4 linked regions of the Drosophila melanogaster genome follow. The protein of the gene in region 2 purifies or fractionates together with the protein of the main gene of each other region. This does not show direct contact. Each region holds a gene or a part of one and is shown on either strand. Other genes may lie near its edges. The genes, in order: Hpr1, thoc5, Hel25E and PCID2.

Region 1 (6,452 bases), on a different chromosome or scaffold from region 2:
TTTTGAATTCCATTTTGCAACAGAAAACATTTTTTTGAAAATTAAAAAGGGTGAAATTACAAAGCAATCAGTTAAATGATGATTGATATTTTAAATGTTTTCGGTTTTCACGAAAGGCTAATTGAATGGAAAGTCTTTTATTTTAAAAAGGTCACTAGGTTTTGATTTGAAAATTATAAGCGAATTATTTACAACAAATGTGCTTCAATTTTCAGATGCGTTTCCAGCAGCGCACGCAACAGGAGCAGGAGGTGCGTAGGCGGGAGCTGATGAGCACGAAGTCAAGTGCCGAGAACCTGGCCACTGGAGCACCCAGTGCCGCCACCACCAGGTTGATCGGGAATGGGAAAGTGCGCCAGATGTTCGACGAGCGCCGCCGCGGGGCGGGCATTGATCGCAGCAATCCCCTCAAGCCGATCGGCACTCTGCCCTCGCCACCCGCCCAAACAAAATCTCGCCCGCAGCCCCCAATGCAGCGTCTCGTCAAGGGCGTGGCCGACTTGACCATGCGGGATGCACCAAATGCACCAGGCAGGAGGATCACTAGTGACAGCAATAACAATAAGTTCGCCACGCCCCGCGGGACTTTGAATCGCAACCTTAAGCCCGTGGTCACCCGCAAGACACCGCCGGCCCAGGAGACCACGCTCCACCAACGTTCTCCCGCGCCACAACGCAGTCCCAAGATTCAGGCGACCCAACGAGTAAGTGGAGGAACCGGTGCTGCCCCGACAGCCGGTCGTCTTTCGCCACCATTTGTTCGACGGGTAAGTAGCATCGACGTGGCACGGAGGTGTCAGTCTCAAGCTAAACATATTTGGGATTTATTTTAAATGTCTGTTTCCAACAAGGCGGAACCCAAATCACCAGTTAAAAAGGTCAACATGGTGAGTATAGCAGAATAATTGTCGGCAGTGGGCGTATAATAAGATTACCCTTCGCTACCAGGACACAACGACTGCAATCCCAGAGGGCACCGCTTTATGCCGCTACTGCGGACGCCACTTCAACACGGATCGTCTGGCGAAGCACGAGGAGGTGTGCCAGCGCATGCTGACCACCAAACGCAAGATATTCGATGCCTCCAAGCAGCGGATCGAGGGCACCGAGGCCGCGGCGTTCAATATGAAGTCGAAGGGCAATCGCAACCGTTCAACTTACAGTAGTGCTGCCCAGCAGAAGGGTCTGACCACTGGAGTGAAGAAGAACAACTGGCGTAAGAAGCACGAGGACTTCATTCAGTCGATTAGAGCGGCCAAGCAGGTGAAGGCGCACTTGGCGCGCGGCGGCAAGTTGAGCGACCTGCCACCACCGCCACCTTCGGAGAATCCAGACTATGTCCAGTGTCCCCACTGTGGTCGCCGATTCAACGAACAGGCTGCGGAGCGTCATATCCCCAAGTGCGTTAACATGGTGCACAACAAGCCCCGTAACGGTCCGCCGGCCAAGAGGCGTTGAGTGGTGATTGGGAATAGATATTCGCCCATTCTTTTACTTGTGATAAAGAAGTTTTATGATTGAAACGAAATTATAATAACTAGGGTGGGATCGGCATGGGGATGATGCTAATCAGAGAGCACCTCATCGTCGTTACCGGAGGCAGAAGGCGGCAGTGGATCCAGATTTTTCGCGCTCAATAATCGCCTTCACCGCTTCGGCGGCCTTATTCATCTCCAATCCCTCTAGCATGTACGCCCAGTTTTCCAGGGTGGCGTCGTCGTCATCGGATATCCAGTTTGTCAGCATCTTAACGCAGGCCACGTTCGCCGTAGGATGCTCCATTTGAAAGAAGAGAAGTTCATCGTTGGTGAAGCCAATCTTCTTTCCCACCTTCATCCATGGCTCGCCTATAAGGGGCGCCACCTCTTCGATATGCTCTTTGGTAACCATAAGGGGTTTCTCGTGCGCCGGTACCTCATCCACCTCTTCCACCACAGGTTCGTTGTCCTCTACTTCAAGATCCTGCTCTGGTTCACCGTCCTGAAGGGCGACCGTAGCATCCTGCTCGCCCTCCGTATGAACGTTGTTGACCGACAGGCCAAAATTGTTCTCAGAAGAGTTGTTCGATAAAAGGGCAGCAGGTTTGGGCTCTTTGTCCCGGATGAGACGTTTGCGCACTTGCTCAAGATAATCGGAGATCTTGCTCGATGGCTGAGAGAGCGACGTAAAGAAGTGCGGTGTTTGGCGGGCAAGCAAGCGCAGAGCTCGCCACTCAAAAGCGGGATCAACCTTTTCGTGCGGCGTTTCTAAATATGTCTCCAGCAGCGGTAGGAAGTTTCGCTGTTCACTTTTGCAGGCCTGCAAGTTATCTGGAGAGTAGTTCCACAAACGTGTTAGGTTGTCACTGGAAGTGAAATATTTTAGAACTGGCTTAGTTTGACTTACGTTCGATACTTACTTTCCCAAATAAAACTTGCCGCTGCGGGAAGCATCGCGCAGTGCATCGCCCAATGGACGGCGCGGTCTTTTATTGGGAGTTGGCTTCGAGTCCTCTTCGCTGAGAGTTGGTTCCTCGGGCTTCTTGAATTCCTTGCAGCCTTCGTTCTTCCAGTTGTTCCACATCTCTTCGCGGGCCAGCATGTGATACACTGTCCGTGAAAACCGCTTACCGTACGGTGGTGTCTCCTCTAGCAACTTATAAACACGCGACTCTGTTTCCTTGATAAAGTCCGCCTGGTCTGCAGTCAAGGTTTGAGTATCACTGAAAGTACAATCATTAAAGTTTGTTCGTTTTCCCTGGACTTTCTTCATATTCGAACCTTTTAAACTTTACACTGACTTGCAGGTACTGAAATAGAATTAGAAACTGCACCAGAACAGCACGTCGAAAATTAGCGTCGGAGAGCTGCAGAGCCAAAAGCTTGGGATTGGTTAGAAACTTGGCGAAGAAGTGATTCGCCTTGATGACGGAAGACACCGCCGTGGTGTCTACTGCCTCCTCGTCCACATCCATTGCTTGGTCAGTACCGCTCGCATTTTCGTTGCTACTTTGGCGCACGTCTTCCAGCTTGAAGCTCGAGAAGGACTGTAGTATGTTGTCAGCGTGCTGGAAGGGGAAAGTAACAATATATGAATATGAACCAACATGGGGCAGGATTATTAATAACCAATATTTATGAGCAAGCTAGCTGGCAAACATCTTTGATCTCTTTCCAAGATATATATATATTCTACAATTGTAATTGTGCCAAGCCACTGCTTACCATCTGGAACATCTTCCACTGCGGCTTATTGTAACACTGGTTGGGATTTCGGAAAAAGTCCTGCAGCGACCAAAACTTGCAGTACAGGTCGTAGTCGATCTTTAGGGGGATGTCCTCAGCGGTATCCTCCAGCTCCTTGTTGTCGCTTTCGTCGTGGTCTTTGCTGTCCAGACCGTACTCCGTAAAGTTGTCCAGGTTGAATTCGGAGACGATGTTGAGGCCAGACCGCTCCGAAAAGGGAAAGAACTTTGAGAGGAAAAGCTGGATGCGGCCACAGAAGACGGTGTTCTGGGTGCGCGAAAGTCGACGCAGCAGGTCGTTGCACATGCGTAGAATGTTGTTCTTGCATGAGGAAAAGAAGATCTCCTCCTTCCACACCTCCACCATATCCTCGACAAACTGAAATATCTTCTGGCACTTGTCCAGAGTGACCACGTCGAAGGTGTCGATCAGCAGAACCACGGGTATGGTGTTGGACACAATCTCGGCCCGCGTGGCTTCCACGGAGAGGCGTACAAGCTCTCCAATGCGACTCACATCTTCGTCCAGCCGCTTCATCAGGAGCACGCGGAACGCGTGGTCCATGGGTAAGCGCTTGTCGTGCTCGGTGTTGGCCGGGAATCTATTGTACTCCTTGACCAACAGCTCCACTTTGCCGTCGGTGATGGCCAATTCAAGGGCTTTCTGAAAATTATTATTTTCTATCAGATCGGAACATTGCCGGTTTCGGGGCCATTCATCAACGTTTTACCTCAAACGCCGACTGTAGCGCAAAGTAGTTGGCCAACTTCTCCGGAGCCGTGTTAGCCACTTCTACGGCGGTGCTCATATTGATTTAAATAATATTTTTGGCGACAACAGATAAAAACAATAAACTAATTTGTTTTTTCAATCAAAACATCACGAGTGCTGCCAACTCGTTTTGGTTAGTATATAATGCGCCGCTATAGTACTTTAAAGACCAAAAAATCGATGACAAATCGATTATAATTTTTTTTAGGCGCCTGTAAGTTAGTTTTTTTAAAAAAGTGTTTTTTTTTTTTTGTTAGCAAAATTTGTCCTTTTGCACCACATAAACCTGTTTTTGAAACACCAATTAGGTAATGAGGGTTTTTAGGTCCTATTCCTTAGAACATAATACTCTGTTTGTAAGCTTTTTTTTTCTTATTGACCCGAAAGACTTTTAAAAAAGCAACTACATAATATTTTTGTTAAATTGGTAACAAATATAATGAAAAAATATATTATTTTATTCTTCACTGCGATAAATAAAAATTGCATTTTAAATGCATTTCTCAAAATCGAATTTTTCTTATTAAACGTCAAAAACCACACATTGAATAAACTTTCATCATACATCAATTTAAAGGCCGAATGGTTTGTAGATAACGATAGCATTGAGCTGGGGCACGCGAACACTCCCGCTATCAGCTATTCCGACAATCACGCATAGATTTCAGATTCCAATTACTTTCCCACTGTGTGCGAGGTCGCACAAGCTTCATAAGTGCGCCAGGCGTATACAATGAGAATCGGGTACGGCTTTATTCCAAATCTTAAGCTCAGGCGAAGTGGCCATGCGCAAGTCGATTATATACATTCTGCTGTGGATTCTGGGGCTAAGCAGATTCTGCAGCAGCTCTGTGCTTAAAGAATTTTTTCCCGACTACAACTACCACAGGCCTTCTTGGTTCCAGTTCTATCCTGACTATTACAACAGAGGTTATTCCCAGCCACAGCCAGAAAGGCCTGCAAAATCGGCGCGGTCATACAAGGACATCTGCAGGTTGGTCAACACCAACGGATTCACAAACCCCGGAGGAGTGCCTAGGTGCCCTTACTAACTTGCTTAACATTTTTATCTACATATACAACACTCATATATTCTAAATAAAAATAAATTGCATTTACCATACTATACTAGGCTGTACCAAAGACACTAGAATAACAAGATGCGTAACGGCCATACATTGGTTTGGCACTATGCAGCCACTTTTTTGGTGACGGCCAAAATTACTCTCTTTCCGCTCACTCCCGCTTAGAGCGTAAGAAATCTAAAAATATAATTTGCTTGCTTGTGTGAGTAAAAACAAGAGACGAGAACGCGTATAAGTGTGCGTGTTGTGCTAGAAGACGATTTTCGGGCCGAAATCAATTCTGATCGAAGAAACGAATTTACATGGTACATATTAGGGTAGTTTTTGCCAATTTCCTAGCAATATGATAAAATAAAAAATTTTTAAAAATTCGCGCCCTGGCTATTATAATTTTAAAGCTTTTTTAAATTTCTTTGTTAAAATCGCCGCTCGAATTAGCTACCGTTTACACATTTGTATTTATGTTTAATTCTAATTTGTCTCTCATCTGACAATTTTTTAAAACCGAAATATTTTTTTTGAAACACTTTTAATGTTAATGTTACATCATATTAAGTCAAATGATTTAATAAATATACTAAATAATTAAATATGCAATTAAATTAAATTGCAAAAGTAATATCAAAGACAATAGAATTATTCTAGTGTCTTTGCTTTGTTCATATCTTGAGGCACGAAGTGCGGACACAAGCACTCAACAATCATTGCCTTATTAATTTTTCACACGCCGCAAGATGAATACTCTAATGACAAATATTCTTATATAAATTCATTTTTGAAATTTATTTTTGTGATAATATGTACATAGATTTGACTATTTCTAATCTATTTTCAAATAATAATAACGTTAAGGCAATGCAAAACAAGAATTTTTCGCATGGTGCCAATTGATAAAAAATAATATAGATTTAAAGCCAAAGAACTTCTAAGGTGAAGGGCATATTTTGTCAAATTTACAATGCATGTGAATACGTGTGCACACATACAGATGTCTGCTATCACTTTGTGCGTTGAAAAGAGCTGTTCGCTGTAGCGCTCTTCGCTCTCTCGCTCTCTAACAAAAATTCGAGAGAGCCTGGAGCCACCTCTAGAGCCACGGCCAAAAAATCGTGTGCCAAAAAATCGTATGGCGTTACGCATCTTGTTATTCTAGGGTCTTTGGCTGTACCACGTTTACAACTTAGGCAAATCACTAAATAATATAAATATAGGAGCTGTGCTTACAAGGTATGGTCATGTGCTAAGCTTAATCTAGCTATACCTAGACAACAGAAGCGACAACCTTAAGCTATTTTGGGAACGGGTTTTGTCCATTTGTGGAGTCTTAGAAGAGTCGCTTTTGGACGATGTAAAAGACACAGGCGAGGAACAA
Region 2 (5,976 bases):
TCCGCAAAGCGAGTTTCAGGCATGCAGCATTTTTATTTACTTCCTATTGATTTTTCTCAATACTAGGGCTAGCAGAGTCGAGTAGACATTGCAACTAAGTCGAGAATTTGGCACTCAATAATACGGTCACCGATTAGCGCGTCATAGTACGAGGCTCTATGGGTTTAAGCTCAAATAAAAGTCGATTTTTCAGCCAGCGAAAGCTCCTCAGCTCAAATTAGTGTTATATAGCTGGGTGGCTGTAAACAACGTGTTTACCTGCAGACAGATATATGTGTATGCCCCCAGATTTGTGTGTGATTCGAGCTTGTAACAAATTGGTCTGCGCAGCAAGTCTGCGCACAAAACCATTTAGTACTGTAAAGTGCAACAGTTTCTCGTCAAACGCCTCCTGTGGGATTCGATGCGGATGCGAGTGCCTGGATTCGATGCTTGTTGAGGTACCAAACATTTATCAGAAGAACAACCAAGAAAACCGCATAAGGCAACTCCAAAACCATGTACTTACATAAATGAAAAGTGTTTGAGATTATTGCACTTCAAAAAAGAGACAACATATTTCATGTAATAAGCTTGAAACACTAAATTCAAACCAAATAAGTTATATTTTCCATTTTCATGACTTCCGGTTGCGGAAGTTAATTTGTGAAACTAATCCGGCATGACAACCCTGGACAACGGGAGTTCCCCTAACATCCACACTGGCACTCGCAGCTATTGGGACATTACACACAGTCTGGCCACACTGCAGCCCAACGACCATATGATTTTTGCCGAGTATTTTATTTCCAAATGTTGTTACCTAAACACGAGCACGTCAAATTCCTGAGGGCCGCAAACGAAAAATAGCCAGGATCTAAGTTCAATTTGAATGGTGTGATCTGCAGACGAGGCAGATCTGAATCGAGGAAACCCAGTTCCGGTGAAGGAAGTAGCACACAAAGTCCTTGCAAGATGTTGCGAAATTTCGGGATTTCATCAATAAGAAGGAGCAGCTGGATGGCCAACTGGTGCTCCAAGGAGCGGGCGTGGGCGTCCGCCATGCGGCTAAGTGCGTCTGCGCCGGCGAAGTGTCCACAAAAGTTGTTAAACAGCCATGCCGCCAATAACCTCCAGCAAAGTCGAAGGGCCTACGAGAGCACCAAAGCGGAGAGGCTGCCCGGGAACCCTAAGGAGAACGAGCGTAAGCCCGAGGACCTGGATAGAGCCTACGAGGTTCTGAGGACCACGCTACCAAAGCTGTTCGTGGAGCCCCTAGACTACTCCATTTACAGCCCGGGCCTAATCTTCCACAACAACATAACGGGCAAGCACACGGTGGGCCTGTACCACTACGTCAAACAGATCGCCATCCTGCGAACGGTTGGCCACCTGAAGTACGCCTACGTGAAATTCGAGGTGCTCAAGATCACGAAGCACCAGGACGACTACACAGTGCGGATAAGGTGGCGAGTGCGCGGCATTTCCGGCCTGAAGGTCATGTTCCAGTTCTGGAAGTACAAGCTCTGGCAACTGAAGGAGGTGCTGAAGGATCAGGAGGCCTGGTACGACGGCTACTCTGTCTGCTATCTGGGCGACGATGGGCTGATCGTCAAGCACGTCGTGGACAAAGTGATGCCGGACGAGAGTCGGGAGGCGGTTGAGAACCCTTCTGCGACGGCACTACCTCCCGGATCCTTGGCAGCGACCTCTTCCCAGAAGATCAACTGCCAATGAAGTCGTAGCTAGCTAGCTTTAAATGTTACTTATTTATTGTATTACTAATCGTAATAAACGCAACTGTGAGAACGTTTAGTAACCGCATTGGCGCATTGTGTTGTACAACATTCGTTATTCAACTGTCACTGCTTGAACGCGTAGACCGATCCCTTCTTGATGTATTTGTAGGGGCGTGAGCGGCTCCGCTTGGCGAAGGCGCTTATGTAAGGCTTCTCCTTGTTGTACTCAATGGTGTTTTGCATGGATCCCTCGGTTTCGAGGAATATATCGAAGCTGTAGATGGTGCGGAAGAGCTGCGCGTACAGGATGCAGTCGTTGGGCTCCAAATGTTTGGGCTGCAGGGAGTTGGTCCAGAACTCCATCATCTGAGGAATACAAGTTTAAAAGCTAATTGGAGGATAATACCTGAATAAGTTCAAACCTTGATCGCCGAATTGTTTTGCGCGGTAAGGCATCCGTTCCAGTGCACATTCAGAATCCATAGAGGCATTTCCAGTGGATAGTTACTCGGTATTCTAATAAAGCACTCCATTTTGGCCGATCCCCGGACGATGACAGCGCGGTAAGAGTTGTACGTAATACCCTTGTCCGCTGACGAAGAATTCAGTGCGTCTGAAATTTGCGAGTGAAGCTCCTCATGTGTGATGGCAGTCCATTGGACGAGACTGCACGACAGGCCGGCTGGATAGATGTTCTCCTGCAAGCTATACAAATCGATATCCTTGAAGGTCAGCCCGCGAATCTGCTGGCTTAAACGCTGCCAAGAGTTCAAGCGCCTGGCAATGCGGTCAATAATCTCCTTGTTGTTCTTATTCAAGTTCAGTTCGTGTTTGTACAGCATCGAACTGTTGACGGTTGCAATCGAGCACATACTTTGCAGCCAACAGAAGGGTTTTCCGTAGTCCTTGGCCTTGAGGTAGCGCACACATTCCTCGGCTGTTAAATCCGAGCTTCGTAGCTGAAAGAGCGTAATTTAATTGGTTGTCCAACGTTGGATAAGGAAGTTCTTACCTCGTATTGGATTCCCGGAATGGGTAATTCATTGCCCAAGTCATTGGGGTACAAATGCCGCAATAGGTGGTGAACAAAGTTTGTGTCACTGTGAAAAAATGCCTAGTTATTTATGCGATTTTTTCCTAGGTGTGTTCCAAACTTACCCCTGGCCGTTGGCATTCCTGGAGCAGTTAAGTTGGCCCCAGACAGTGGCACACTTGATAAAATCAAAGTAGCGAATCTGCAAAACGAGCTGATTCGATCCAGCCGCTCCAATCTTTAAAGTTTAGGTTAATAAATGTTTTGGAATGAGCAAACCATGTCATCCTACCGTCAAACAAATGTGTAGTGGGTGAGGAGCGAGTGAGTCGTCCAAGTTGTTTTTATCGGCAATCTTTTCCCGGTCTCCACTTTCCTTTTTAGTCTGTCTGTAGTTCAATGTGGAGCACTTTTTCTCCTTAAGCAACTCCTGCATTTGAGCCTCGCTCTCATAGCCAACCACCTCGGCGGTGAAGGACTGCTCCTCGCTGACCCGCTGCAGCGATTGCAGGACAATGAACAAAACGTAGAGCGGCTTGGGCAGGTACTTGACCACTGCGCTTAGCTTCCATTCCACGTCCAGGGATAGCTGGAGTGCATCGTGCAGCGGCTTTGTGGCGCTCTGCAGAGTGCGCAAGGCGGGTGCGAAGGAGACGTACCGCTGGGCGTGGCTAAGATTGTCCTGGAGCAGTTCCTGCTTGGAGCTCAGCAGGGCGCTGTACTGCTTGTCGAGTGCCTTCCGCAGACGCAGCTCGCAGTCGAGGCGATGAAGGTGCTGCTTGTGGCTGGACAGCTCCTCCGCGTCGTTGGGCATGTCTGGCAGCTCGCTGGAGTACTCGGCTTCCGAGAGCAGCTCCAAGCTGGTGTCCCTGCTCTTGAACTTCTGGCAGCGCACAATCTCCTTCTTCAGGTGGCTCACTTCGTACAGAAGATTCTGCAGCTGCAGCCGGCTGAGGTCCACCTTGCACTTTTCCAGGTGCAGCTTGTCGCGCCCCGCTTTGATCTTGTGCTTCACCTCGCGGTTGGCGTGCTTCAGAGCCACGAACATCAAGGTGGTGGCAATGCGAGCCTCATCCGTCGATTGCCCCTGCTCGTGACGGATGTGGACGGATTTAGAGCTGTACTCTGGCACGGAAATCGGACTTACCTTGCTCTTCGCCTCCTTAATTCCCTCTATGGCCTTTTGCAGCTGATCGAACTGCGTGTTCAATATTGTTTCCATTTTATTTGGCGAAATTGTAAATCAGAAGCCGCAAAAGTTGTTTTTATTAACAAAACTGATATAATGTGGCCAGGCTATCGAGTCGATAACATTCGCCGGTACTTTTCAAAATGATTTTAGTATATGCGCATACCCCACTGCTGCGGTCACACTTGGTAGCGGCTTTGTAAATATAGTTAAAAAACAAAATATATCCTTTAATATTTGCTGTAAGCTTAAGTTAATCTCTCCAAACTTGAAATAACACAATGCTGCGATTGCTCCAGAAGAGAACCAATCTCATAAAGCTAGTAGTACCCGGCCCCCGACTTCACCAGACGATTGCGCAAACAGCGATAAAGGTTGCATTAATATCCCACTGATTACATATAAAAATATGTTTTTATTTATAAAGTAATATTTGTTAATGCCGCACCTTTCAGGAAATCCCAGTGATAAAGCCCATCAGCACTCCGAAAAGCGACAAGACCGTCGGAAGATGGTTCCTGGGAGTCAGCGGCATGGTCTTCGTGGCCGTTGGTCTAGGTAACCAATAACAAAATGTAAAGTTTGTAGTTCCTTGCGAAAGTGAATCTCTTCCAGGCGGAGTAACCCGACTGACAGAGTCCGGACTGTCCATGGTCACTTGGAAGCTGACGGGTGAACGTATGCCCCGAACCCAGGAGGAATGGGTGCAGGAGTTCAATCTCTACCAGCAATACCCAGAGTACAAGCTGTGAGTACTCCCCAGATTCATCCAACGCCAGGAACTACATGCAAACTTCTGCTTTCAGAAAGAATGTGAATATGACCGTGGAGGAGTTCAAGTTCATTTTCATGATGGAGTACATGCACAGGATGTGGGGTCGTGCCATCGGCGGGTTCTTCCTTTTGCCCGCTGTTTACTTCTGGAGAAAGGGATACTTCTGTGCGAAGACCAAGAAGAGCGTCCTGCTGCTGGGCACACTGATTGGCCTGCAAGGTCTGATGGGATGGTACATGGTCAAGTCCGGGCTGGAAGACAGGTTCCAGGATCCCAACGACGTGCCACGGGTATCCCAGTATAGATTGGCCTCCCACCTGGCAGCTGCCTTCGTCCTGTACTCACTCTCCCTGTCAAAGGCCATGTCCCTGCTCATCCCCACGAACACATTCGTGATCCAAGCCAAGAAAGCATTTAATATCAAGGGGCTGACGCATTTGACGAAGGCAATGGTCCTGCTGACTGCCATTTCTGGAGCCTTTGTAGCCGGACTAGACGCCGGACTCGTGTACAACTCGTTCCCGAAGATGGGCGACAAGTGGATTCCCGATGACATGTGGACGTTTGCGCCCATACAGAAGAACATCACCGAGAATCCGACGACGGTGCAGTTCAATCACCGCATCCTTGGTATTAGCACAGTAACGCTGACCACCGCTCTGTGGCTGGTCACCAGAAGGATGCAGTTGCCCAAGCGCGCCAACTGGGCCATCAACGCCGTGGTGGCTATGGCCTGGACGCAGGCCACGCTTGGCGTAACCACCTTGCTTAACTACGTGCCCGTGCCTCTGGCAACGGCCCACCAGTCGGGCTCGCTTATTCTGCTGAGTTTCGCATTGTGGCTGTCGCACGAGGTTCGACTGTTGAAGTACCTTCCGAAGTAAATAAATAGGCGTTTATTTGTTGAACCAAAAATTTAATATCCTCGCCTTGATAATAACAACTATGAGTGGGGCAAATGTAATAGCAACAACCGTTTATTCATTCCTATTCAATATTCATTTTCACACTGCTTTTATCCTCCTGCAACTCCTTGTACTCAACACTCTTTGCGTTCAGGCAGGCGCCCACACCCTTCACGTTTTCCGATGACTTGGTGGCCTGGTTAGAGTTGGAAACGTGGTTGTACACCGCCAGGGCCTGGGCCACGAAGCCATTAACATCCCCGGGATTCGAGGGCAAGATCATGGTGTTATTCGTCTTGGCCAGCTTCTTGAAGGCTCCAATGTACTGCTCGGCCAGCGTGAGCGAAGCAGCATTC
Region 3 (6,769 bases), on a different chromosome or scaffold from region 2:
TATATACAGTTCAGCAACTAAATGAATGTTTCGTTCTTGCTTGAAACCACGCCTTTTGTCTCTTCTTACTTTTAATTTTATCATTACTCTACTTTCTTTGCCCTACAATTATAAGGTTTTCTTATCGATTCAGTTTCCACGCACTTACCCTCAGCAGTGGTGCACTCCTTGGTCTTCTTGTCCAGCTTGTTCTTGAGCTCCTCGTTCTCCTCCCAGAGACGCTTGATATCGATCTCGGCACGAGCGCGATCCCTAGCTGTGTCATCGAGCAGACGGCGCGTCTCCAGCAGCTCGGCCTCGAAGATGTTCTTGATGTTGGTGGTCTCGCGTGTGACCGTGTCCCTGGTGGTCTGCACCTCGATGGTGAGGCGGGAGTTCTCCGTCTCCAGGTTGCGCACCCGGTCAATGTAGGTGGCCAGGCGATCGTTCAGGTTCTGCAGCTCCACCTTCTCGGCCACGCGCGAGTGCCGGGTGGGGCTGAGGGGGCTGGAGGCCGTCTGCGAGTGAGTGGACGGCGGCGGCGGCTGCGGACCCGCCGATGGCGGCCGGGGGGTGGAGGTGTTGCCGGGCTGCGGCGTGGCGGTGCCAGCACGTCGGGATTTGCTCGACATGTTCACGCTGCAAGACAAATGAAATGTGCAGAATAACACGTGAGATTTTTGTGACTGACCTCTTTAGGACACAACACTTGAAGAAAAGTTGAATAACACAATTGCGTGCCTTCTAAACGCGTTTTATATGCAATACTTATATTTGAACTTTTTCGTTCGGTGTAGGGTATGTTATTTTTGCGCCCTGATAAAATTCCAAACAGAACCGAACACGAAAGAGGGGAAACGCACAAAACGCTCAAAAACAGAAGCTAAACGAGTTTCTCTAACGCGCTCTCTCTCTCTCTCGCAGTCTCCTCTACGTCTCACTCACACACACGCACATCGCTTTCCACTCAAGCGACTGTACTAAAGCGGACGAGGAAAACGAAGTGAGTTTGTCGGCGTTTGTTTATGGGCGTGGAGGCAAATGGCGCGGCTAATACTAGTTTAATCAATCGCAACGCTTAGCTAATCCAGTCGACGCACTTTAAACGATTTGATAAGGAGCCAAAAATTGCACAATATGGCGATTTTAATTCAATATTTACAGCGACTTTACACTAATACAGGCAGGGGGGTTATTTCGATTTTGAGTGAAACAGTGCCGCCTCTATTGTTCGGCACTTAATCAGTTATTTCAACTTTTTCTACAAGTTTTCCTAATGCTCGTAGATAGCAGCGCAACTCACCTGACTTTTTATAACGAACGGAAAATGCACAAATTTGAAAATGAAGTATCTTGCAGCAGGAAAACGCGGCCGACGCTGGAACGTGTAATCGAATTTGTTGCGATGGTTTCAGAGACTAATCGATAACTTTCCGGCATGCCTGGTGTGACCAAACGCCGCGCTAGATAAAAGACTAAGAACCGCTTGACCCCAAAATGATAAAAAAAAAATTAAATTTAAGCTCAACAAGCCATTTTAATTTAAAGCGTTAGAAGGCATATATTTTATAAAAACTTTTTAGTTGAAGCTTACAAATGGATTTGTTGTGCACAACTATCGATAACTTAACGATATCACCCGGCTCAGCTCGCATGAGTTCTTAAACGTACTTCGGTCACACTGCTCTGCGCTGTTTTTTCCTCCGCATCACGTTAAAGATTTTAAAATAGTTAATTTCACTTTAAAAGCTGTATTTTAAAGTGATAAACGTGCACAAAAGGTGAGTTTGACACTGAAAATCACACTGCACTAAATAAAATCGTCGCTTGTAATGGGTATTTCGTTTTATTTCGAAATACATGTAATGCGGTGCGGTGAAAAAACAAAATGGCGGAGGGAACGCCGGCACCGGTTCCGCAAAAAAAAGCGGCATTTTCTTTAACAAACACATGTAACTTATCTAGTCGCACCCATTTTATTTCCCAGCATTTAGTTGCGAATTTATAGCCGATAACTAGTTAAAGGTAAGAAAGCCGCAGAAATGGCCGACAATGACGATCTTTTGGACTACGAGGATGAGGAGCAGACCGAGACCACTGCGGTCGAAAACCAGGAGGCCCCCAAGAAGGATGTCAAGGGCACCTATGTGTCCATTCACAGTTCCGGCTTCCGCGATTTCCTCCTGAAACCGGAGATCCTGCGCGCCATCGTGGACTGCGGCTTCGAGCATCCCTCGGAGGGTGAGTACTTGCACTCCACCTGGAGTGACGAAAGGTACAGTCACTAACGATGCTCTCCGCTTGCAGTTCAGCACGAGTGCATTCCGCAGGCCGTACTGGGCATGGACATCCTCTGTCAGGCCAAGTCCGGCATGGGTAAGACCGCCGTCTTCGTTCTGGCCACGCTGCAGCAGCTGGAGCCGTCGGACAACAACACCTGCCACGTCCTGGTCATGTGCCACACCCGCGAGCTGGCCTTCCAGATCAGCAAGGAGTATGAGCGATTCTCCAAGTACATGCCCACAGTCAAGGTGAGTCTACGTTTTAATCCATTGTATATAATTCAACAAAAAGTTTGGTTCGACTATATAGTTACTATATATTAATTCGATATGTTTTCTATTTAGGTGGCTGTCTTCTTTGGCGGAATGGCTATTCAAAAGGACGAGGAGACCCTCAAGAGCGGCACCCCGCATATTGTGGTGGGCACCCCTGGCCGAATTCTCGCCCTCATTCGCAACAAGAAACTTAATCTGAAGCTTTTGAAGCACTTTGTGCTCGACGAGTGCGACAAGATGCTGGAGCAGCTGGGTAAGTTGACTAATAATCACCAAATGACGGACGTTTTACTAATAACCAAACCATTCTTTTAGATATGCGTCGTGACGTTCAAGAGATTTTCCGTAGCACGCCGCACGGCAAACAAGTGATGATGTTCTCTGCCACATTGAGCAAGGACATTCGTCCCGTTTGCAAAAAGTTCATGCAAGATGTAAATATCAACGTGTTCATAACCAAAATGCTCGTACTTCTCCACCTCGCATCCACCGCTATCACGACAATTAGTTATTATTTTGTTAATGCCACGCGATATCGAACATTCGATCTTGATCCCCTCCGTATAAGCCAACCACCATCTTGCAAATGGTTAAACGCGTACAACCAAACGTCCAGCGCTCTGTGAGCATAACTCGTATCGAAAAACTTAGTTAATGACTATCGGACACCATTTTCTAAATGGTTAATCGTGGAAATTGGCAACCGTTGCAAAAGCATAAACAAGCAGTAACCGCTGAATGAATCAATTGAAATCGCAAAAGATTTAACAATACCAACGCTAGCAAAAACCAATACCTAAATAAAACTACAAGCAAACAGCAAAGATCCCGCCGACTGGCCGATGAGACGAGTTGAATCAATCCAGAGCGAATGCGATGCGATAGGCCCGCTCATCTGTAATCCGCACACTTCTCAGAGCGATCATCGATCCTCGGGAGCAGTTCAGAGACTAGTTGATGAGATGTGGTGGTAGCGTGGCCGTATGTAGAATATTCTATGCATATTGTTGTATGTTCCGAGGCGAGCCTAGTCTAAGTTCGATTTCTCTGTACCCCTCCTAATTGTGTCCTTTAAAATGCGCCACATTCTATTTCCCAAATCCAGCCCATGGAGGTCTACGTCGACGATGAGGCCAAGCTGACGCTGCACGGACTGCAGCAGCACTACGTCAATCTGAAGGAGAACGAGAAGAACAAGAAACTGTTCGAACTGCTCGACGTGCTCGAGTTCAATCAGGTAGGTCATTCGGTGGTCTTAACTTATATTTACCACTTACTTGATTATCCCTGTCATAGGTGGTCATCTTTGTGAAGTCTGTGCAACGTTGCGTGGCTCTGTCGCAGCTGCTGACGGAGCAGAACTTCCCCGCCATCGGCATCCATCGTGGGATGACCCAGGAGGAGCGTCTGAATCGCTACCAGCAGTTCAAGGACTTCCAGAAGCGCATTCTGGTGGCCACCAATCTCTTTGGCCGCGGCATGGACATCGAGCGTGTGAACATCGTGTTCAACTACGACATGCCCGAGGATTCCGACACCTACTTGCATCGCGTGGCCCGTGCCGGTCGCTTCGGCACCAAGGGACTGGCAATCACATTCGTTTCGGACGAGAACGACGCCAAGATACTTAACGAAGTACAGGATCGTTTCGATGTGAACATCAGTGAGCTGCCCGAGGAAATCGATCTCTCTACATACAGTAAGTTGCAATGATGAGTAATCCCCAGCCACCAGCAGTGCTAACTTGATTTTCTTTTCCAGTTGAGGGACGCTAGAGCTCGAAGGTGCATGTTAATCGGAACAAGACTATGCACTTCGAATAGATACAAACCTAAAACCTTTTTTAAAACTCTACTTTATAACTAAATAAAAACTATTCAGACAATGTGTTGACAAACAAAAACGGAATTATAAGTAATGTATTTATTTTGGGAATGGATTCTAAAACCCACTTGTTTCACATTTCCGTTTAAACTATTTTATTTGTGAAAATTTCTGGGGCATATTCCCTTAAATAACTTAGCAATATTAATGTGTACAATATTATAAATCAACTCACAATAAAATGTCCAAAAAAAATAACAAACTCGCATATGCTTTAATGGTGAAATGGTAATTGGGAACTCGCTGGGCATAGTTTAGTGTGTCCGTTTCAGGACATGCGCAATGGCCAGGAACTTCCGGCAGCTGCATTGCGACAGGAAGAGAAGGGGTTGTGGGGTGGAGGTACGAAAAACTGGGGACGAAAAACAACGAGGACGTCCAAACAATGAGAGAAAATGCACGCTTGCGAAAATGCTGCTAAAAAAGTATGTGAAAACGCGGCGTAAGCTGAAGATTCTACTCCTGCTGGCCATCGTCGCCCTGCTGGTCATCACCATCATAGTGCTGGGCTCCAGCGGACGCAATGCGGCCATCGAACTGCTGCTGGACGAGCGATTCATCGCACGCGCCTACAGGCCCGGGGATCAGCCCCAAGTGGCGGAGAAGCCGCCGCCGGTGGCCGTCGCGCTGCTCCAGCCGCAGCGGGAGAACGGAGTGATTGTGCCCGAGAAGTATGACGAGCAGAAGATCAAGGAGCGCATCATTCAGAGCAAAATCGATCTGATGAAGCAGCAGCAGCAGCGGGACCACGAGGCGGAGCAGTCTGTAAGTTTCCAGTTCAGTCCAAGAAGGTGGCCAATCTTAGTCCTTAAATCTTAAAAATGTACACTTTGTTCAGTCGCGTACCACTTTGGATGTGGTGATCAGTGCAGTGCACATATTCTACACTGCCCCGGTGCCGTGGTACAAGTCGAAGAAGCCGCCTCCGCCGCCAGCGGAGCACCCAAACGATGTGCCACTGACCACGCCGCGACCAGTGCGAATCCTAAACACCGCCTTCTATCCGGCACTGGGTCTGTACAAGCCCAGTGGCTCGCTGCTGGCCCAGCATTTCGAGAACATACGCAGCTGTGGCATCGGTGTGCTCATCCTGAGCTTCTCCGGTGGCAAGCCCGCGGAGGCGGCACTGCTGCATCAGATCTTGGAACTGGCACCGCAGCACAATCTTAGCGTTACCTTTGAGCTCAGTGTGGCCGGGAATCAGAGCGTGGAGTTTGTGCGCCAGCAGCTGCAGGAGATTGCCACATACACCAGCCTAGCTGGATTCTACAAGGTGTGGAGTCAGTCGAGAGGTGTCTCCCTGCCGGTTCTCTACGTGAGCAATGCCTACAAGTTGAGTGATAGTCTGGGAAGGCTGTTGTGTCGATCGCCTTCGCTGGTGGAACCGGATGGTCTGCGGAGAATTCTGGATGCCTTATTCATTGGACACATAAGGTGGGGTGCGCCTTAGATTATCCTAGGTGATTCTATATATCCTTTCGTTTCTCTCCAGGCTCAAAAGCCATGCCGATGTCCTGCGGAGGTTGTGCTTCGATGGCTTCTACAGCAAACTGCCCAGCAATGGAGCTGTCTTCGCCAGCACTTGGAAGAACTGGTCGTATCTGAAGTCATTTGCGCTGTCCTACAAGATGCTCTTTGTGCCCACGGTGGGTCCGGGATTCGCGGAGAGGAACAAGTTTCCGCGACACGGAGACATCCAGCGGCATCGCAGCAATGGACGGGTGAAGGAGCAGCCATCAACTGGAGTGCCAGAACAGGCTACTAATACTAATATCATTTGATCTTGCAGTACTATGGCGTGGCCTGGCGGACAGCCATTCTCAACCACGTGGGCTTCATCAACATAGCCAGCTACAACAACTGGCCGGATGGCAGCCAGATCGAGGAGGTGATGCCACGCGCCGGCTTCCTCGACTACAATCCGGGCTCGAGAACGAAATATCTGGATCTCACGGCCCATTGGGTGGGCAACTTTCTGAAGACGCGACAGGAGGCGGCGGCAGCAGCCTCGCCAGCATCGCCGCCCAACTGTTACGAGCTGCTCAATGGAACCATATGCTAGGAGCGCACCAAGTGGGACTAGTTAGGAGCGCAGCGGAGATAATCCTAGTTACTTTAGAAGCAATAGCAACGATTGCAGGCCACTCAATTACTTTCCAACTGTTAAGAAGTCTTCTGCTGCACACATTTACACACTGCATAAATATATCGTTTTGATAGTGATATTTTTGAAAACGCGCGCCCAAATGTCGAGTTTTTTGGCGGGAAATGCAACGCACTTCATTCCAATTACATAAGTAATTTAAGTACTAAACGCCAATCAAAAAAAGAGAATTTTGAGAAGAGGT
Region 4 (5,074 bases), on a different chromosome or scaffold from region 2:
ATTTAAAAGGAAGAACGAATTTAAAATGGTATGGGATATACATAATGAGCTTAACTGGGGAATACTCTGAAGGCTTCTCATCAGTTACTTGAATCTAGAACACCCTAAGCGCTTATAAATTGTTTTTTTTTCCCATAGGAACTGAAGCGTTAAAATCCTTTTAATTTCATATGTGCAAATATTTCTGTTTCGCATACTTCAATATTTTGTGAATGAAGTCTTTGGGAGCATTATTTTGAATGAGGATGACCCCACTTACCCCGTATCACCCAGGCCGTGCATGAAGATCAGCTGCAATACACAAGTGATTAGTCGAGGGCTTCCGGAATTTGGACTACGGCGGACTACTCACCGTGGCGGTTTGCTTGACCGTGGCCTCGACAATGACCGGCGCAGCCATGTCTGCTGTTCAGTTTAGCCTCTACTGGGGACGCACTATTCCTATTCCAGGTACTCTGCGATTCGGCGACTTGGCGCTGCTTTCGTCGCTTTTTTCGGTGTCAGCGGATTTCTGCAATGCAGTGAAAAAGAAACACTTTGTAGTTTGCGTTTTAGTTATGTCACGTTGTAAACGCAAAGCAAAATTAGTAATATTGATTTTACGATTGCGAAAATGACAACACGTCGCCGGCTGAGAAATGGTTACTAGCTAACTAGATCTAATCTTCGCCACTTGTCTTATGTACACTTTGCGCGAATGAGGCTCTAATCATTTACCAGGTAATACCACAAGTATTGTGTTAATTTGTTTAAATTCGCTCAACTACGACAATTCATGCAGCTGCGTTCCAAAAAGTTCAGAGATGAGTGATAGTCGGTGGACCTAGAGATGTGACCGAAACCGATTCCGCTGTCGATACATCGGTTCGAGCACAAAAATCGATATATATCAATTCCAAAGTTCGATTAAGTTTAAAAAGTGGTATTAGTTTAAAACCGTTGAAAAATAAACATATTTATAACCAAAAATTATATTATTAGTTCATAAGTTGATTTGAAACATATAGGTTTCGAAAAACCAAACAAAATTATAACCAAATAGAATTGAAGGTACTTTAAATTCAAAGTCTTCAGGTCTTATACTCATCGTTGGTGCCCTCCATTCACATGCCCCATCCAGTAAACTAATACACTGATTAAATTGGATTCTTTTACTCTTAAAAATTCACAATAATTACAAAATGCACTAAAGGGACACTGAGGGGAATGGATTTTGCTTCGACACGACCAGTTTGTTGTGAGCATGTGAGATGTACCCCTTAATCTTTCCATCGTAAATGAGATTGGCCACGATGCAGTGCGTCTCGTCCAGAGAAACATCGGTTAAGCCAACGAAATGCAAGGCGGAGAGGAAGTCACCCATGTCCAACTGATGCGATTTCCGGATGACGAACACCTTCTTGAACAGGTTGCGATACACGAGGAACTTGAGCTTCTCCACCAGCAGATAGATACCACTCCTGATCAGCACCAGCTCCTGGTCCCTGACAATCTCATCAAAGCGATTCACATTGCCAGCCTTCATGGCCATAGCCAGATCGAGAAACAGCAGGAGATCGTAGCGCTGCAGTAAGGATTTGCTGGGCAGATATCCCAGCAGCATCTTCACTGGCACCAAATAGATGAGGATGAGCCTCTTGTTGCTGGCAAACCGATCCGGGCAGTTGCTAAAGGCATACGACAGATACTGTACGGCTGCCTGGTAGTTGGAGTCGAACATAGCCCGTCTACCTACAAAATACTTGTAGGTAATTTGCTCCGGCAGCGGAAAAGAATCCTTGAAGATGCAATTATCGATGGCACGGATAAGGGGCTTGCACAGATGCAACTTGTTGATTCGAAAATAAATCTTGAATAGCTGGTTTACGAGGTTCATCATGCCCAGACGCTTGGTGTCCTCCTCTGAAGCTCGTCCATCAGCGGCACAAACGCGGAAACAGGCCATTATGCAGTCGGCAGCCTTCTCCAATACGTGGCCAGGTGTGAATCCTTGACAATGCTTCTCGCAGGCCTGCGCCAAGTACCTTAGATCCAGGCACACGCGGTACATTAGTGGCAGGCACCAATTCTCGTCCTTCAGCTGCTGCAAAAGCCTCACAACGGCTCCGCAGGCTGCCGACTGTTGGGTGTAGGCTTCCATGTAACCAGGAGGCTCCTGTGCCAGGTGATACAGCACCTTCAGGTGGGCGGACACAACTTCGTCCAGTGGCGGTTTCAGGAATCGATCCACCAACTTTTCCGGCTGGGCAATGTACAAATTGTGGTTCTGAACGTGCACGTCTCGTAAGGAGAGATACGTGGCCAAGGACTCGCCATCTAAATCCTGGGCGGCGTGCAAAACGCCGGATAAATAGTTATTTACGGTGCCGAACATTGTTTGTGTTTTTCGCAGGCGGCAAAATTAGAGATGGTAGGTCAGGCACTATCTGCGAATGCGATGTTTTCATCGGAAACTTCTATCGATTGTCTTTGTTTTTTATAACGCGATAATACAAAGAATATTTTTTCAAAAGTTTTTTTTTTAACATTTTATTTTATTTTATTAAAAAAAGGTATTTATTTACATTATACTCGGTTTATAAAATAAAACTCTGAACGCAGAAAAAGAGTTTTTTGTTTTAAATTTTAAAATTTCCCTCTGCAGCGAATCGATTATATTCCGCGAAGGTCTTTTGCTTGCCCAAAAGATTCTAAATTTAAACAATTTTCGTACATATAGTTGTGATAGCAGAGCTGTCACAAGACATGCTGTTTCTAGCCAGTTTAATAGGCCTTTGAGTATAGTTCACTTAGTAAATTACAAATTAAAGCTTTCCAAAAACGAAGCCAGTGCAACAACATATTTCACAAGGAGCAAAAGGATTCAAACATGTCGACACCGAATTTTCTCTTGAGCAATGGTAAAAATATGCCTATGTTGGGTCTCGGAACTTGGCGGGTAAGTACTTTTACATAGATATATATTGTTATTAAATAATAGCCAGCTGAAATGTGCATTTCCACTGCATATTTCACGGTCAATGTCAAAGCTCTTCGGGGTCAAGCAAAAGCTTTTGATGCACCTCAGCTTTTTACGTTTTATTCGCCATTTTAGAGCCCGCCGGAAGTGGTGACCCAAGCAGTAAAGGATGCTATTGATATAGGCTATCGCCATTTTGACTGCGCTCATATCTATGGCAATGAGGCGCAAGTGGGAGCTGCTCTCCGGGAGAAAATGGACGAGGGAGTGGTCACACGGTAAGTGCTGCTTTCAGGCCTAATCAATCGTTTATCTAAGCCATAAATACATATTGCACTGCAGAGATGAACTCTTCATCACGAGCAAACTTTGGAACACACACCACAAGCCGGATTTGGTGCGCCCGGCATGTGAGACAAGCATAAGGAACTTGGGAGTCAAGTACCTAAACCTCTACCTGATGCACTGGCCCATGGCCTACAAGTCGGGCAGTGACAACCTATATCCCACGTGTCCGGACACCAATAAGGCCGCATTCGAGGACATCGACTATGTGGACACGTGGCGTGCAATGGAGAATCTGGTGGACGAGGGTCTGTGCCAGGCCATCGGTGTGTCTAACTTCAATGAGCAGCAGATGAATAGACTTCTCAGTGTGGCCAAGCTTAAACCGGTAGTTCTTCAAATCGAGTGCCACCCGTACCTTAGTCAGAAGCCATTGATTACGCTGTGCTATGACAATGCCATTGCTGTGACCGCCTACAGCTGCCTGGGATCGGGACATACGCCCTACGAGAAGCCCGGCGCTTATCCACTGCTCCAGCATCCGACCATCTTGGCTATAGCTGAGAAATACGAAAGGACTGCGGCACAGGTGCTCCTACGCTTTCAGACACAATCGGGTATAATTGTCATCCCAAGATCAGTAAGCAAACAGCACATGTTGGACAACTTTAAGCGAATCTGGGACTTTGAGTTGGCCGTCGATGACATACAGGCCATTAACGAATTGGACTGCAATGGGCGTTTTATGACCATGAAGGCGTAGGTGTTGCTCTTTTCATTTCCTAGGTTTTAACTTGAAATATCTCGAATCTTTCTATTTTTCTCCTAGGGCCTATGGACATCCTCATCATCCATTTGAACCCAAAGCCAAAGTAGATAATTAATATTAATTAATATTAGAAGTACAAGTAGTTATTTAAACTGATTGCCTTTAATGTGATAAGTAAGATTGTATGCGGCGATCTGCAGAGTTATACTGATGATGTCCAGGTACTTCCTTTATACTGAGAAGTCTAGCATAATTATTGTTATACAATATAATAATATAATATAATTAAACTGTTTTGCTGTGTGTAAAATCGAATTGTAGCCTTTGAGTTGGTGGGCATTTTAAGCTGTATTTAAAATGTGGCTGTTTATTTTTATATACACATTTATTTTGCTATTTTTCATTTAGGCTTCAATACTAAAACCAAGTAGCCATTGCATTCCATCCGTCAAGAAGTCTCTACACAAATAATTAAAATTTACTGGCGTGCAAAATGAACACTCTAATGAAAATTCAATTGGTTAGGCCTGTTTTTCGCATTACGTTGAGGAATTATGGGAAACCAGAGCGATTTATGTGGTAATATATAGGAAAATCAAATCGAACAAAGCATCAAAAGTATAATTTCCACAAATATTGTAGGTGTCAGAAGGAGTATGCTAGAGCTCCCAAGGTGGTTTGCTTGGACGGAAATGAGATTCCAGTAATTGGGCTCGGAACTTTCAATGTAAATATTATGACAATGTCTGTTTTTTCATATCTATGCCATAGTTTTGATAAATAATCATATTTTTACGAAGATATGGATATAAAAATTTTTACATAGCGATCATAAAGAGCCTATATGGTTGAAGGGCTTTTGAAATTTTATAGCGATCATAACATATGTAAAATGATACATTTTAGTATCATTTATTGAAATCATTAAATGTTTTAATTGATTTAGTTTAATATATATTTTCTTTTATGCTATATAGAGAGTATATCAGCACTCGATATTTAAGCGTAACTGACGATCGCTCAGCTGTTCGGCTTGTCGACTATGCAGCCCTGTCCTCCGA

The links.
Region 1: the proteins of thoc5 (region 2) and Hpr1 purify together in Drosophila melanogaster (affinity purification with western blotting; 5 studies listed by BioGRID, with this or other methods). This does not show direct contact.
Region 3: the proteins of thoc5 (region 2) and Hel25E purify together in Drosophila melanogaster (affinity purification with western blotting; 2 studies listed by BioGRID, with this or other methods). This does not show direct contact.
Region 4: the proteins of thoc5 (region 2) and PCID2 purify together in Drosophila melanogaster (affinity purification with western blotting; one study listed by BioGRID). This does not show direct contact.

What each region holds. Positions count from the first base shown.
Region 1 is NT_033777.3:5,817,301-5,823,752, forward strand, and holds Hpr1 (Hpr1), read right to left. Parts: upstream 4,141-6,452; 5' UTR 4,033-4,140; coding exon 3,955-4,032; intron 3,888-3,954; coding exon 3,204-3,887; intron 3,047-3,203; coding exon 2,760-3,046; intron 2,702-2,759; coding exon 2,399-2,701; intron 2,345-2,398; coding exon 1,591-2,344; 3' UTR 1,494-1,590; downstream 1-1,493. Other genes in the region: CG42675 (uncharacterized protein), read left to right, coding at 216-767, 852-887, 949-1,458; CG46303 (uncharacterized protein), read left to right, coding at 4,781-5,047; Sec20 (secretory 20), read right to left, coding at 6,405-6,452.
Region 2 is NT_033778.4:23,952,161-23,958,136, reverse strand, and holds thoc5 (thoc5), read right to left. Parts: upstream 4,047-5,976; 5' UTR 3,974-4,046; coding exon 3,899-3,973; intron 3,839-3,898; coding exon 3,044-3,838; intron 2,990-3,043; coding exon 2,877-2,989; intron 2,819-2,876; coding exon 2,731-2,818; intron 2,678-2,730; coding exon 2,141-2,677; intron 2,085-2,140; coding exon 1,842-2,084; 3' UTR 1,731-1,841; downstream 1-1,730. Other genes in the region: CG16787 (uncharacterized protein), read left to right, coding at 955-1,716; CG3803 (uncharacterized protein), read left to right, coding at 4,222-4,314, 4,396-4,498, 4,556-4,688, 4,747-5,599; Stoml2 (stomatin like 2), read right to left, coding at 5,703-5,976. UniProt on the Drosophila melanogaster protein: The THO complex is required for cell proliferation and for proper export of heat-shock mRNAs under heat stress.
Region 3 is NT_033779.5:5,537,174-5,543,942, reverse strand, and holds Hel25E (helicase at 25E), read left to right. Parts: upstream 1-1,628; 5' UTR 1,629-1,760; intron 1,761-1,944; exon of another isoform or gene 1,945-1,973; 5' UTR 1,974-2,021; coding exon 2,022-2,220; intron 2,221-2,286; coding exon 2,287-2,510; intron 2,511-2,606; coding exon 2,607-2,790; intron 2,791-2,852; coding exon 2,853-2,971; coding exon of another isoform or gene 2,972-3,163; exon of another isoform or gene 3,164-3,642; coding exon 3,643-3,774; intron 3,775-3,833; coding exon 3,834-4,236; intron 4,237-4,298; coding exon 4,299-4,312; 3' UTR 4,313-4,617; downstream 4,618-6,769. Other genes in the region: Lam (lamin), read right to left, coding at 149-611; CG14015 (uncharacterized protein), read left to right, coding at 4,833-5,186, 5,260-5,855, 5,914-6,142, 6,211-6,483. UniProt on the Drosophila melanogaster protein: Required for mRNA export out of the nucleus. Probable RNA helicase that may regulate entry into mitosis by down-regulating the expression of other genes whose activity may be rate-limiting for entry into mitosis during embryogenesis.
Region 4 is NT_037436.4:11,623,780-11,628,853, reverse strand, and holds PCID2 (PCI domain-containing protein 2), read right to left. Parts: upstream 2,414-5,074; 5' UTR 2,375-2,413; coding exon 1,187-2,374; 3' UTR 1,139-1,186; downstream 1-1,138. Other genes in the region: Apt1 (Acyl-protein thioesterase 1), read right to left, coding at 260-291, 353-400; CG6083 (uncharacterized protein), read left to right, coding at 2,870-2,938, 3,095-3,237, 3,302-4,003, 4,074-4,128; Akr1B (Aldo-keto reductase 1B), read left to right, coding at 4,507-4,592, 4,656-4,740. UniProt on the Drosophila melanogaster protein: Required for the export of nuclear mRNAs and involved in mRNA trafficking in the cytoplasm.